3 linked regions of the Xenopus tropicalis genome follow. The protein of the gene in region 3 interacts with the protein of the main gene of each other region in a pairwise test. Links are inferred from orthologs where the notes say so. Each region holds a gene or a part of one and is shown on either strand. Other genes may lie near its edges.

Evidence for each region. The genes of interacting proteins can lie anywhere in the genome.
Region 1: the proteins of thap1 (region 3) and akap17a interact in binary tests that used the Homo sapiens proteins (3 or more experiments, as listed by UniProt). The two-hybrid records come from large-scale screens. The link is inferred for Xenopus tropicalis from reciprocal best matches to the Homo sapiens genes THAP1 and AKAP17A.
Region 2: the proteins of thap1 (region 3) and u2af2 interact in binary tests that used the Homo sapiens proteins (3 or more experiments, as listed by UniProt). The two-hybrid records come from large-scale screens. The link is inferred for Xenopus tropicalis from reciprocal best matches to the Homo sapiens genes THAP1 and U2AF2.

Annotation. Positions count from the first base shown.
Region 1 is NC_030678.2:38,922,324-38,926,498, forward strand, and holds the start of akap17a (A-kinase anchor protein 17A), read left to right. Parts: upstream 1-1,375; 5' UTR 1,376-1,493; intron 1,494-3,264; 5' UTR 3,265-3,277; coding exon 3,278-4,039; intron 4,040-4,175. UniProt on the Homo sapiens protein: Splice factor regulating alternative splice site selection for certain mRNA precursors. Mediates regulation of pre-mRNA splicing in a PKA-dependent manner.
Region 2 is NC_030683.2:104,041,842-104,045,907, reverse strand, and holds the start of u2af2 (splicing factor U2AF 65 kDa subunit), read right to left. Parts: upstream 2,801-4,066; 5' UTR 2,786-2,800; coding exon 2,737-2,785; intron 1-2,736. UniProt on the Homo sapiens protein: Plays a role in pre-mRNA splicing and 3'-end processing. By recruiting PRPF19 and the PRP19C/Prp19 complex/NTC/Nineteen complex to the RNA polymerase II C-terminal domain (CTD), and thereby pre-mRNA, may couple transcription to splicing.
Region 3 is NC_030677.2:112,769,460-112,775,084, forward strand, and holds the start of thap1 (THAP domain-containing protein 1), read right to left. Parts: upstream 3,520-5,625; 5' UTR 3,339-3,519; coding exon 3,268-3,338; intron 2,494-3,267; exon of another isoform or gene 2,422-2,493; intron 612-2,421; coding exon 416-611; intron 1-415. UniProt on the Homo sapiens protein: DNA-binding transcription regulator that regulates endothelial cell proliferation and G1/S cell-cycle progression.

The DNA.
Region 1 (4,175 bases), on a different chromosome or scaffold from region 3:
TGTAGTTTGCACATCACATTTTTCTATCATTCTGATTAGTTTGACCCATGCATCTACATCCAACTTGTACCATTCTACAAAATCTCCCATGTAGTTTAGCCCTAAGGCAAACCAACATCTATGCAAGTTGAACCCGAGTGCCACCCCTTCTCTCTTCTTCTAAAATCACACATTCCCTGCTGCCTCTGTCCCTACACACTCATTGGATAAATGGAAAAACCCTTATTTTGTAGGCAATTATGAATAATATATGGTGCTGGTTTCACTTTGGGCTAAAATTAAATACAGTCTGTAAAAATGGCCCCTTTATTGGAGCTCCCTATAGATCCTATCAGTTCTCTGTCCGAGTTTGAAATGAAGAGTGGGCGTGTCCTAACGGTCCCTGCCAGAAGCACAGTAGGAGGGGGATAGCCAATCACAGCCCTGCACTCACACAAGCAAAGACAGGCTTCAGTTCCCTATCAGGTCAGCCTAGCTGCTGATTGGTCCCTTTACTACAGTATCTGTACTGAGAGCCTGTGGCTCCCCTGCACATCCAGAGAATTCACCCAGCAGGAAGTGGGACAGATGGCCCATACTAGTGGGGTTTAGGTGGAATTTCTCAATAAATCAGTTCAAGCACAACTTTTTAAGCACAACCTTTCTATATTTAGAGGAGTATAATTCACTGGCACATTTTTTTTTTATGGCAGAGGCTCCTGCCTTTCTGTTTCAGCCAAGGATAAAACAAAAGAGCCTAAAACCTTGTTAACTTTTCGTTGTATTCTGCTAAATTAGCCCTTTTGTCCCTAATCTGTGAAACATCTGCCTCATTTGCACAAAAAGCTCAGAAAAATAGATTACTTCATTTCACTTTGCCTTAATTTGAACATGAATTACTATTTTTTGGGAGCAGAGGCACCAGTGGTAGTGGGTATTGCTGGCAAGCAGCAAAGAAATGGGTCTCATTTTGTTTGGGAACTCCCTGCCAATGTTCTTTTGGGTTCCAGAACTTTCTTAGGGAAGGAACCTGCACAATTCCAAGTTTATAAAAGTATAAAGGAAGAGTAAAATACAACTTCCGTTTTACCCTTGTTCTGACCATGTAGTGTGAAAAATATGCTCCCCCACCCTGAGGAGGAGGTTTTTTTGTTCCTGGCACAGGTGTAATTTCTAAAATGTGTAAGGAGGAGAGAAAGTGAAGAAAGCAATGAATGGCCAAATATTGGGAGCTGAAGCCCACTCTAATTCAGGAAATGCGGGCAGTGGGACCTGCTGCAGCCCCCACAGACATGATTGCGTGACACCTTGCACGACAGAGCCTCACGGCGGAAGGATTTAGCGTCACTGCGCTGCTCTGCGTGGCTCCGTGACATCATAGTCTCGCGAGATGAGCGGCGGAACGTTGGAGTTGGCTGTACGGCAGGATCTAGAGAGTAGGGCGCTAATGGCGTTTCGGGACGTTTAAGCAGCCGTCTGGGACTCCGGGTTGTGTTACGGAAAGCGGGAGAGCGGTATGCACCTGCCCTGTACTACCTCTCCTTGGGATTCATGCGCGTAGGGAAAACAACAATACGGGATGTCACACGCAAAGCCTTCCGCTTGCTGGTTTGTTTGAGGGGAACTGAACCTCAACAATGAATTAGACTAGGAATGCTACAGTTCATTTTGTTTTGTGTACCTGCTAGAAAGACTTTATGCCTCTGAAAATGCTCCCCATATTTTGCTGCTGGTCAGATACCCGAGTTTAGTGACAATGCACAATACAGTGCAGGTATTATATCCAAATTCACAGTATATGGCAGCACATTCAGGTATTATATCCAAATTCACAGTATATGGCAGCACATTCAGGTGTTATATCCAAATTCGCAGTATATGGCAGCACATTCAGGTATTATATCCAAGATCACAGTATATGGCAGCACATTCAGGTATTATATCCAAATTCACAGTATATGGCAGCACATTCAGCTATTATATCCAAATTCACAGTATATGGCAGCACATTCAGGTATTATATCCCATATCACAGTATATGGCAGCACATTCAGGTATTATATCCAAATTCACAGTATATGGCAGCACATTCAGGTATTATATCCCATTCACAGTATATGGCAGCACATTCAGGTATTATATCCAAATTCACAGTATATGGCAGCACATTCAGGTATTACCGTATATCCAAATTCACAGTATATGGCAGCACATTCAGGTATTATATCCAAGATCACAGTATATGGCAGCACATTCAGGTATTATATCCAAATTCACAGTATATGGCAACACATTCAGGTATTATATCCAAATTCACAGTATATGGCAGCACATTCAGGTATTATATCCCAGATCACAGTATATGGCAGCGCAGAAATCAGTGCAGCAGAATTGGCGTTAGCCCTGTAGCATCAGCCTCTGTAACAGATGTGAACTTATTTTCTGTAATGTTTTTATGAATTGAGTTGAACCCTAAGCTTAGCTTCTCTGCAGTACCCCAGAGCACACTGAGCATGTGCAATGTCACTGACACTCAAAAGATGGCCTAACTAGATTTCATGATATGGAGCTGCTTTGAACACTGAAGGCCTGAAACATTACTGTTACAGCTGTGAGAAAGTTCTTGGCCCATACAGCAAATTCTTAATACAGAGTACAGCATTTCTAGACAGATTCTTATTTAGGGTTCAGTTCTCTTTCAAAATCTAATGAGATGGCTGTGCAGCTACGCTGCATCTTGTCTGGGAAATTGACTTGCTAAAAATATGATGCCATGTTTGCCATTGCTCAAATATCCTGTAGACCATGTTATAATTATTCAGTGTTGCATTTTGCCTTCTGATATGTAAAACTACCAACCTAGCAATTGAGTTTGGTAGGGTAACCGTTTAATTACTCATTTCTCTGGTACCTTTTCTAAAAATCAATCACAGTGACAGTATGAACCCTTTGCTGAGATGCAGAGAGAGCAATAATCATAAGTGTGAATGTACATAATTACCTTCATCTGTGAATGTAAGTGGGGCATAGTTGAGTCAAGGGTGTCACAGTCAGTCTCACTTGCTGGTATGGATGCAGCCATTTGTAGCAGCTGTATGCAGTACACACAGTATTTGAGGTCTGTTTTATTTACAAATGGGATGCTTGTTAATATATTAGGAATATGTGCTGTGTAATTTGGTACATATAAATTATTTCACTTGCTTGTCTTTTGATTTTAAAGGCAACATTTTAATAAAAGAAGTTGCAGATATTACCTAACATTTCTACTTTATATATTAACAGCCCCTTCAAGATTATGGCTGCAGCTACGATAGTGCATGATACATCGGAAGCTGTAGAGCTGTGTGGCTCTTGTGGGCTTTACTTGAAGCCTATCACAAAGATGATTATCAGCGTGGCACTACCGCAGCTGAAGCAACCTGGAAAGTCCATATCTAACTGGGAAGTAATGGAACGTCTGAAAGGCATGGTGAACAACCATCAATTTTCCACCTTACGCATTTCAAAAAGCACCATGGACTTCATCAGATTTGAAGGGGAAGTAGAGAACAAAAGTTTAGTAAAGACTTTTCTAGCAGCTCTTGATGGGAAGAGTATAAAGCTAAGTGGGTTCTCTGATATATTGAAAGTCAGAGCGGTTGAGTACAAATTAGACTTTCCCACCAGACATGACTGGGATTCTTTTTTCCGTGACGCAAAAGATATGAATGAGAGCCTTCCAGGAGAAAGACCTGATACAATTCATTTGGAAGGCCTGCCTTGCAAATGGTTTGCGTTGAAGGATTCTGGCTCAGAAAAGCCAAATGAAGATGTTCTTATTAAGGTTTTCAATTTGTTTGGGGAAATTCGGATGGTGGACATACCTATGCTGGATCCCTACAGAGAGGAAATGACAGGCAGGAGTTTCCATACTTTTAGCTTTGGTGGCCACTTGAACTTTGAAGCCTACGTACAATACAAGGAATATGTAGGATTTGTAAAAGCCATGAACGCACTGCGTGGTATGAAACTTATGTACAAAGGCGAAGATGGGAAAGCTGTGGCCTGCAATATTAAGGTGTGCTTTTGTGCAGCGTTATTTCATGCAAATCCATTCTGTGGTCTTCTAGAACAGGCTTGGAATTATTGAGCAACTTGAGCTTTGCTCTGCAAATTATTAAACATTACTAAAGCCTTTCTGGCAATGTATTCTT
Region 2 (4,066 bases), on a different chromosome or scaffold from region 3:
GGGGGGCTAAACTGGTAATTCACAAAAAAATCTGTGTAGACCGTGCCGCCACGTATGCCATCCCACCGGCGATTTATATTTTTGCCGGTTGGATGTCATATCGGGGAGATTTTTCGTGGGCGACTTATCTCCCCGTGTACCAGAGCCCTAAGAAATAGGCTGATAACAGATTGCAATACCACTTGTATGTATGTATATCTTTATTTATAAAGCCCTACTTATGTAAGCAGCGCTGTACAGTACAATACCACTTTTTATCAGATTCTAACACGACTTAAGGTGGCCATACATGGTAAGATATTCTTGTTGGGAGAGATCGCCAAATGACTGGATCTCCTACCAATATTCCCTTATTCCATTAAAACCAATGAATTACAACTAAGGGTACAGGCACCGTAGGATTGACACGTAAGTCATCCCGCCAGTGATTTACATTCTAGCCGGTGGGATGGCATTTCAGGGAGATTAGTCGCCCGCAACAAGGAAGATTTGTCACGCTCCGACTAATATACTCCTGTGTCACAGTCCTTAAGCTACAATCACAGCATGGAAAAGAGCTAAAAGGATTGTGTAATCAAACGGGTAAAAAAGTGATTTGGTTTAAGTTTGCAAATTACCCAAACAGATGAGAAATCACTGAATAGTGTAGTTTTCCTGCAAATACAATCTGTATTTTGAGGATAATGCATCCAAACTGGAATGCACTAGTGACGCCCCAGATCAGTAAACAGCAGTGAAATGGCTGCATGCTGCAGGTTAGCCCAGGTATGCGCTGTAAGTTGGCAGGTTATGTTTGTTACAAAAGTAAACATTTAGTCATATTAGTGTATATATAAAAGTTTTTAAGTCAGGAAACTTTACATATCACACCAATGGTTTAGTTTAAAGGAACAGTAACATTAAAAAATAAAATAAGCTACGTGTATGTAGCTCTTAGACATGGATTCAAACAATGTGCCTTTTACCTTTTTCAGCTTGAATGGCTGTGCCTATGGCTACAGAGGAGCGTGTTTATATATAGTAGTGTTACTGAAGCAATCATCGGTTTTACCAGTGCAGGGCAACAGTACATTATAATGTAATTAATTGTTTAATGTAACTGTTGCTTTAATATCTAGGAATATCTGCTGGAATTCCCCTGTAAACACACACAAAGGCCCTTGATTTTAAACTCTCTGCATCTAAGAACCCTGAACTTGATCCAATGAAAGGTACACTAAGCCCCAAATCACCGGCTAAAATTATTTTATAAAATATTTAATACTGCAGTATGTTTAATACCCCAACATACATTGTGAAAGGCACTGGACCTTTATATCCAAACAATAGTACAGATAAAGGCTTGGTACAAGGTCTGTACAACTTGCATCCCTGTAATACCCCTTTACCAGACCTAGTCTGACCCTATATCACTGTGTTAAGTCCATTAAAGGAACAGTAACACCAAAATATGAAAGTGTTTTAAAGTAATTAAAATGTAATGTACTGTTGCCCTGCACTGGTAAAACTGGTGTATTTGCTACAGAATGCTCCTATAGTCTATATAAATAAGCTGCTGTGTAGCCATGGGGGCAGCCATTCAAGCTGGAAAAAAGGAGAAAAGGCACAGGTTACATAGCAGATAACAAATAAACTCTGTAGAATACAATGGCATTTTATCTGTTATCTGCTAAGTAACCTGTGCCTTTTCTCATTCAAATGGCTGCCCCCATGGCTACACAGCTGCTTTGCTTATATAAACTATAGTAGTCTTTCTGAGGCAAACACACCAGTTGTACCAGTGCAGGGTAACAGTGCATCATATTGTAATTGCTTTAAAACACTTTCATATTTTGATGTTACTGTTCTTTTAACATTGATTTAAACCCCCCATACACTGTACATCTGTGCTTAGAAACATAGTTCATACATTATCACCATGAGCTGAAACCAATCAATCATACTTAGTTGCAATACAAAATGGTGTCATGGCAAAATAAAAAAAACTTGCTTTGTAGATGAACAGGACTGCCCAATAGCTAGGCCTAATACATTGCTAACTGCATTATGGGGGCACTATGGGGCATTATGCCATGGGCTGGGGGTTCAAACTAAAGGCAGTTAGAGATTTGGGGAGAATGCTTATTTGCTATTCAAGATTCTCCCATAAGCTCATCCTGTAGGTTTATGATGTTTATGGATGAGCAAGTATTTATTGCCCTAGATATCCTCTGGACTATGGCTGATACCCCATATATGTTCCCCTGTATTATAACTTAGTATGTGGCCCCTGACCATAGCTTGCACCTTTAAAAATAAAAATAAATAAAGCTTGAACGGGAAAAAATTCTACGATCCATTTTAATTATTATTTAATGTTTCACACAAACTGGCCAGTGAATGGCGCTGTCTCATTGGGTGTATTGAGATTCAGCCCGATAGCGCCACAAATAAAGCCATACAAAGTAAGGTCGCTGGGTCGATCATCATATGTTTTTTAATCGGGATTATTTTAACAAATGAGGCCATGGCAACGCACAGCATAAAGGAAGGTATAAAGGAAGGTATAAAAGGGCAGAGTTGCAGAAGCGGCAGGCCGCCCCACGCCAGCGGGACCAGAACCTTCGGGCCTACCCAATGGGCTACGTAAAGAAAAACTCCGCCCCATCTAGGCCTCAACCGCGCACATTTCCCTCTTCTCCCGCCACGCCACATATTATACGGCCCCAGGCCGGCGGCTCCCGGGTTTCACCTTACCTTGCTTATTTTCATTCAGCTGCCGCTCAAACTCGTCGAAGTCAGACATGATGGCCGCGCTTTATTGTGATGGCGGCGGCAGGCCGTGTCCGAGCGCCAGTCCTGCACTCTCTTCTCGCGCTCTTGTTCTCAGAGGAAGGAGTGGGAGGAGGAAGGAGACAACGCAGTCGCAACACGCTTACCAACCAGCTTGGCGGCTTCCGGAAGTAGCGGGGCAGGGGCTTGTTAAGGATTCGCCCGCTTCCGGAAATGATTGGGCGGAGCTTACTATTTTCTCGGCTTCTTTTGAAAAGGGCTTTACTGAAGCGAGAAGACTTCCGGGAACTTCGACAATTTTCGTAAGTAGGGGGGCGTGGTTTATTCAAACATATATGTTTCGGACGGACATGAAATAGAGCCGGCGGAAGACGACGTTAATCCGGTCATTTAAGTTTAGAAGAAAAGGAGACATCGATGCAATTAAGGTGGCATGGCTAGCTGAGCGTGAGGCCTGTTAAAATTAGACACGGACATAAATAAAACATGTACATATGTCTCTTTGTAGGCGGTAAATACATATTGACGGTGTGTTCTCATTTGTAAGGACAGCCTCCTCCTGATTGGTGCAATACACGTGTTTTCAGGAAGCCCAACGTGCAGGGCCAATATGAGCGTTGTACTGCGATGTACCTCTCCTGTTTTATACACTTTGCTATGGGATCCGCAATGTGTTATCTTCCTCCAAATACTGTTTTGTTGCATTAAGAAAGAAAAGGGAACTTGCAGAGATGGATAGTCACATGTTACTTTAAAATATATACAATATTATGCCAAATAATTATACTAATCTAAATATAGATTATCCAGAGAGAATCCTCCCTCAGTCTTTTTAAAACTAAACTAAGATAGTACCTTTTGGAGCACTCACCCAGCACCTGATCTGGGGACTAGCACTTATATTGTAATGTTACCCACTGTGACCTACAGCACTTATATTTGCCGATTTGTGTCTGTAAGTTACCCTCCCATATAGATTGTAAGCTCTACGGGGCAGGGACCTCCGTCCTCTTGTGTCTTTGACTCTTTCAACTGTACCTTGTATTTATTGTTATACTTTGTATTTATTATTATCTTAATAACCCCATTTGTAATAATCTATTCTACTGTACAGCACTGCTTACATAAGTAGTGCTTTATAAATAAATAAAGATATACATACATATAGAAGGAATGTGCCTGAAAAAGTAGTGTTTTAGGCAGCCCATTCTTTTTTACTGGCCTATACTGACACAGGTTGATGTAAGTGCTGAACGCAGGTGGAAAGCAACATTATGCATCGGAGGGCCTCATA
Region 3 (5,625 bases):
CTTCCTCCTCGCTTGCGCGCGCATGCGCAGTAGAGTGAAAAGCCGAACTTAAACATTAAAGTCGGCTTTTCACTCTACTGCGCATGCGCTGGCCCACGGATTTCGCCAGCAGCGCGCAAAGGAAGGAGGAAGCGGTGTCTACAGGTGCCCCGGGCTGGTGCTGTTTTCTCCTAACGGGGGCACCAGCCTGGGGTACAAGGTAGGTCATGTAAGTCACTTGGGGGTGCCTAACATTTTGGCACCCCCAAGTGACTTAGCCTTTCCTTCTCCTTTAAGCCTTAGTGCAAGAGTGTAACAGGTATCCATAAAATATCTCACAATTATTGCACTACATAATTGTTAGGTAATTATGTGCTGAAAATCTTTGAAACCTCATGATGATTTCTCACTGGACATTTTAAAAAGATTTTCTTACCTTTTTCTTTATTTCTGTATGTGCAAATATTGTTGGCACAGCATTATCCTTAAGAAGCTTATTGTTGCATTCTCTTTTGAAGCAATCAGCTGTAAAATGGTCAGAGCAAATGCTACTGTACTTTGTAGGTTTAAAGTCAGCTCTACGTACAGCTGCTTCCCATTTCCTGCAGAGTAGCGGGCGTTTAAGGGGAAACCTATTGGGGCAAAGAAGAGGAATTCAAATTTTTAAAATGTTGTCCTTCAACTTCAACATATTACCGTATATACTCGAGTATAAGCCGATCCGAGTATAAGCCGAGGTACCTAATTTTACCTAAGAAAATTGGAAAAACTTATTGACTCGAGTATAAGCCTAGGCATCCATTTCTTTTAACACACCTGCACAAAACGCTATCATCATCATGGAAGATAGAGAAAACATTGCAGATGAGAAAATAATATATTAATAAAATAGATAAATAAATTGGGCATTTTCTCCACCTGTGTATTTCGGCCAGCTGAGAAGCATCCAGAACCACCCTTGCGTTTGACAAAACAACATACTGTATATCCAGTCTCTCAAACACTCAAAATGACCGGCCATAAGAAAACTGGCTTGTGTTAAGCCACCTTAGTTTGTGCAACATTATTGTATTTAATTAGCCCTGGTAATGCAAAGACTTTAGAGCAGCTGCTTTTTAGGTATATCAGGGGAGAAAATGATCAGTGTCTGTTTTTAGGAGGCAAAAATTGGAAAGCAGTGCACACGTTATCCTATACTCATAGTAACACATATCGATCACAGTTCCTATTTAACCCATTAGGTTTCTTAGTAATAATTCACTGTCAACCATTGCCTAAGAGGGAGGACATGTTCCAAAAATCATGAACCTTAAGTCTGAGGCAGGAGGTGTAAAGTGAGCAGCTGTCAGCCTGTGTACAGTCTATGTGTGTCAGTCTGTGTATCCCTGCTGCCTAAGGGCCTGTCTCTGTGGCAAAACTCAAAATATCAAAGCGAACAACTTAATATGCCCTTACCTTGTAGTTGACCCATGTTGCAACTCTGAGTTCTTTTAAATGCCCTTTTGTGCTGTTGACTTACTCTATTTCATTGATCCAGCACCGATCCAGCACCTCGCCAGCCATCGGGCGCCAGCCATCATGCTGTAACCGGGCATTCGTCGCGCACAACATATCACGTACCTTTCCAGCAATCGGGCGCGATCGCATGCACGTATCCAGCACCAGGCATCCGCGCACACATGTCACGCGCACGGGGGGATGCATGCGATTGCGACGGATGCCCAGTGCTGGATATGAAATAGAGTAAGTTGCGCGCCGATGGCTGCCGAGGTGATGGATCAATGAAATAGAGTAAGTCAACACTCGCAAGCATGCGAGCGCATATGTCCAGGGTTGGGCGGTGTGAGCAAGCGAGCGCACGGCCGGGAGAACGTATATACTCGAGTATAAGCCGAGGGTGCCTTTTTGAGCACATTATTAGGGCTGAAAAACTCGGCTTATACTCGAGTATATACGGTACTAACAATGTTCTTAAAAAGTCAAATATTTATTCAATTTAAATTTTAAAATAAGACATTAAAACAAATTATTGCAAAGTAAGAAAGTATGGAGTATATTATTTCAATTGCGGCTTCCTCAATTCAGACATTTTAATCCCAGTGCTAAAAGTGTTAACAGTTAAATTAGATTCTTGCCACATTGATCACAGAATCAAGAACAGTCTACAGCATTGCTGAGCAACATCTGAAGTTTCAGGGGTCTCACACTGAACCCAGACATATCAAAAGGACTGCAGGTTAGATTTGATGTTGGTAATGAGCACACTACACTACAATACATTTTAATAAATGCAACATACTCATACTGAAGGGCTGAATATAGCCCCCATGGCCAACTGCAAGACAACAGCAGGGATCTAAATGATTGGTTAATTAGCCATAAAGAAGATGCATACATAAAAGCAGTGGCGTAACTACAAGGGGGTGAAATGCACCCCTCTAGGCCCACCAGAGAAGCAAAATGGAGGAGTTTTCCATCATGTGACTACGCCGCTGTTGAATAAGTGTACCCAAGGTTAGGTATGCTACTGCATAAAAGGCAACTTTTACAGCAACAATATAATAATGGAAAATATATGTATTTCTCTTTAACAGGGTGTTACAATTCAGAAAAAAATCCCTTTCCTTTTTTCCCTACCCATACCCTAACTGGAATGCGATGTTCCTAAGTGATATTATCTTAACTTATGAATAGGCTTGATACCCAAGGGGTATTTTAGCAGTATGATACATTACTTTGTGCAAATGCTTTTTAAGATTATTATTGAATAGGACATACTTTTTATTTGTTTAAATTAACAAATATTTATGGGTTTGGGTTTTCTTTTATTTAACATAGGCACTGAGAGCTTAAATTTGCCAAGTCAATGTTGGAGAAGGAGAAGGCTGTGTAACATACAACTGTTTCACAGATAAACCCTATGTACAGGGGGAATATTTTCTGACAAGTTTCACTCAGATAACATGCACAATTGTGGCAATTTTTACCAGAAAAAAAGGCAAAAGCGTTAAATATACCAGTCCACATATTTATATGATAAAATAAAAATGAGGTAAAATCACTCTTCCCCTTCTTAGGTCCATTTATTTCAAAGTTTGAACAACTGGATGCAGCTCACACACAGTAACACAAGGCGAGGCCGCGCACTCCCAGCCCCTGACCACGTGGTATCGGCAGGCGCCTAGCATTAGAACAAGCACCGAGCTTCGCGCATGCGTCTCTTGCTTTCAGGGGACCGAGAATACTATCCAGCTAAATATTACCGGGCAAAGCGCAAAATGCACTCACTTGTGAAAAGAGATGGGTTTATCCTTATCGTAGCGATTCTTGCAACCGTAAGCCGAGCACGATTGCACCATGTTTTCCGACGCGCCCAGTTTCTTCTGCTACAGACGGTACCGCCTTATTGCACCTTGAAAAGCGCGACGGGTTTTCCGTAGATTGCTTTAATTTCTCGATCTGGTGTATCGCTGGCTACCGAGTTGACAGCACCACCGAATTAATTTACAATAATTTTGCAGAGACTGTTGGTGAATTGCGCTCCTCCCGGCTCCAAGATGGCTGACAGCGCTTCAGGTCGGCGTCACGTTCGCTGAGCGGGAGCTGGACTACGATTTGCGAGGGTGTACCACGTGGTGCAATATTTGCTCCGCCTATTCTTATGTTTACGTCTAATTGATTTAGCCAGCCGGGGTTTCTTTATATTTCTGTAGAAAATGAGTAGGTTACTCGGAAGGTGTGAGTATATGTAGGATTCAAAGGATTTTATTCGACGTATTTGTTTTAGTAATCAGAAGCGTAACAAGGGCTTGCGACTTTGTACCTTTATATGATCATTAAACACATGTATGTCTTTCAGTACCCTTATTTAGTTGGCGTGTATTATTGATTAGCGAGAACAGGTTAATCGGTTCGTAATCAGCCCGCTTGTGCGCTAGTTAAAAGTGGTAGGGAAGTTGGATTGTAAGCGCCACTATGTACGAGTTGGTGTGAATGAAAAACAATCTCTCTAGCGCTGCCCAACTTGTGGGTGCTGTATGAGTAGTATGTCTGTAATGTTACCTGTGTGTAACGAGAAACAATGCTCCAAAGGTGGGAAGGCATACTTGGCCTCCTGCAGGTAACTTTGGGAAAGGAAGTGCTTTTTGTGGAAAGGCATTTCCTGGAGACTAGTTACCCACAGTAGCTGAGATTTAGTGCAGTGGCACAAGGGGAAATTAGTCAGATTTTTGTTGCCGCGGGTAACCTCCCCGCAAAGCCATCCCACCGGCAAGAATGTAAATCGCCAGTGGGATGGCATACGTGTCGCTACGATTTCACCCAAAGTACTTAGGGCAAGTTCGGGAAATCGTAGCAACGCATATGCCGTATTGTTGCGGGGCAACTAATCTCTTAGTCTGCCACTGCCCTTAGGGCTCTGGCACACGGGGAGATTAGTTGCCCGCGACAAAACTCCCTGTTCGCGGGCGACTAATCTCCCCAGATTGCCATACCACCGGCGAAAATGTAAATCGCCGGTAGGATAGCATACACGGCAGCGGTGGGATGGCATTTCGGGGAGATTAGTCGCCCGAGACACAGGAGATTTGTCGCGGGCGACTAAGGGCCAGAGCCCTTAAAGTGCACCAATTGCCCCTATGTTGTTTCCCCCACCTGAGGTGCAGCCTAATAGAGCCCATGCTCCGGATAGGGGAAACAATAGTTTTTCCACTGCACCACAGTCACCACTGCAGGTAGCCATGTCGGGGCACACGTATGCGCGAGTGTGAGTGCTGCAACTCGCTCATTGTGCACATGTGTGTGACGTAGAAGGGTAATTTACATTCACCACTCCTACATCAGGCACATGTGCTTATCATGCGCATTCGTGCCGACCAACATGGCTCCCTCCTGGTGCGGGTAGCCCAGTGCTGGCGAGGGGGAGTTTTTTTTTAATCAATTGTTTCCCCCAACTGGAGTGTGGGCTCTATTAGCCCGCACCTATGGTGGGGGAAACAATATAGGTTGATAGGTGCCCTTTAACCATGGGTGACTAATCTGCCTCTGAGCCATGGCCCTTAGAATAACTATGCACGGTGCTTTTAACCTTAGTTTATGCTTTTACAAATAACTTATGCTTTTAAAATAAACTTGTTTATTAAACACACACATTCATTCATTTTTTTTAATCCTCCTCAATCACTACAACATAAAGATAAATGTGTCCTCATTGATCATAAACTCGAAGAGCGTTGTTTACCCAATCCACTTGCAATCCCAATGAAAGTTAATGATTTATTATTGTACAAAAGCGGTTAAAACTGAAAGACTAGTAGTAATAACTATATTGGCATTAGAAGTTATAGGAACATAGGGGGAGGTTTATTTACCAATTTTCATGGTCAAGGGGGAAAAAAATGTGAAAAAAAACCAGCAAGTAAATTTCCAGCAGCAGATTAGGATATTTAAATCTTTTTACCAAACACATAGAATTGTGCTTTAAATGCCTTTTATGATCATTTGTAAAGCCTGTCAGTCCTGTATTCATGTCCTAGAACCCACCTCCCCCACTCACCAAAATAACACCCTACAGGTTGTAATAATGACCATGGTCTAATGTAGTTGTCTGGGTTCCTGCTTTGTTTCTTGCCAGTGACCATGTTTCGT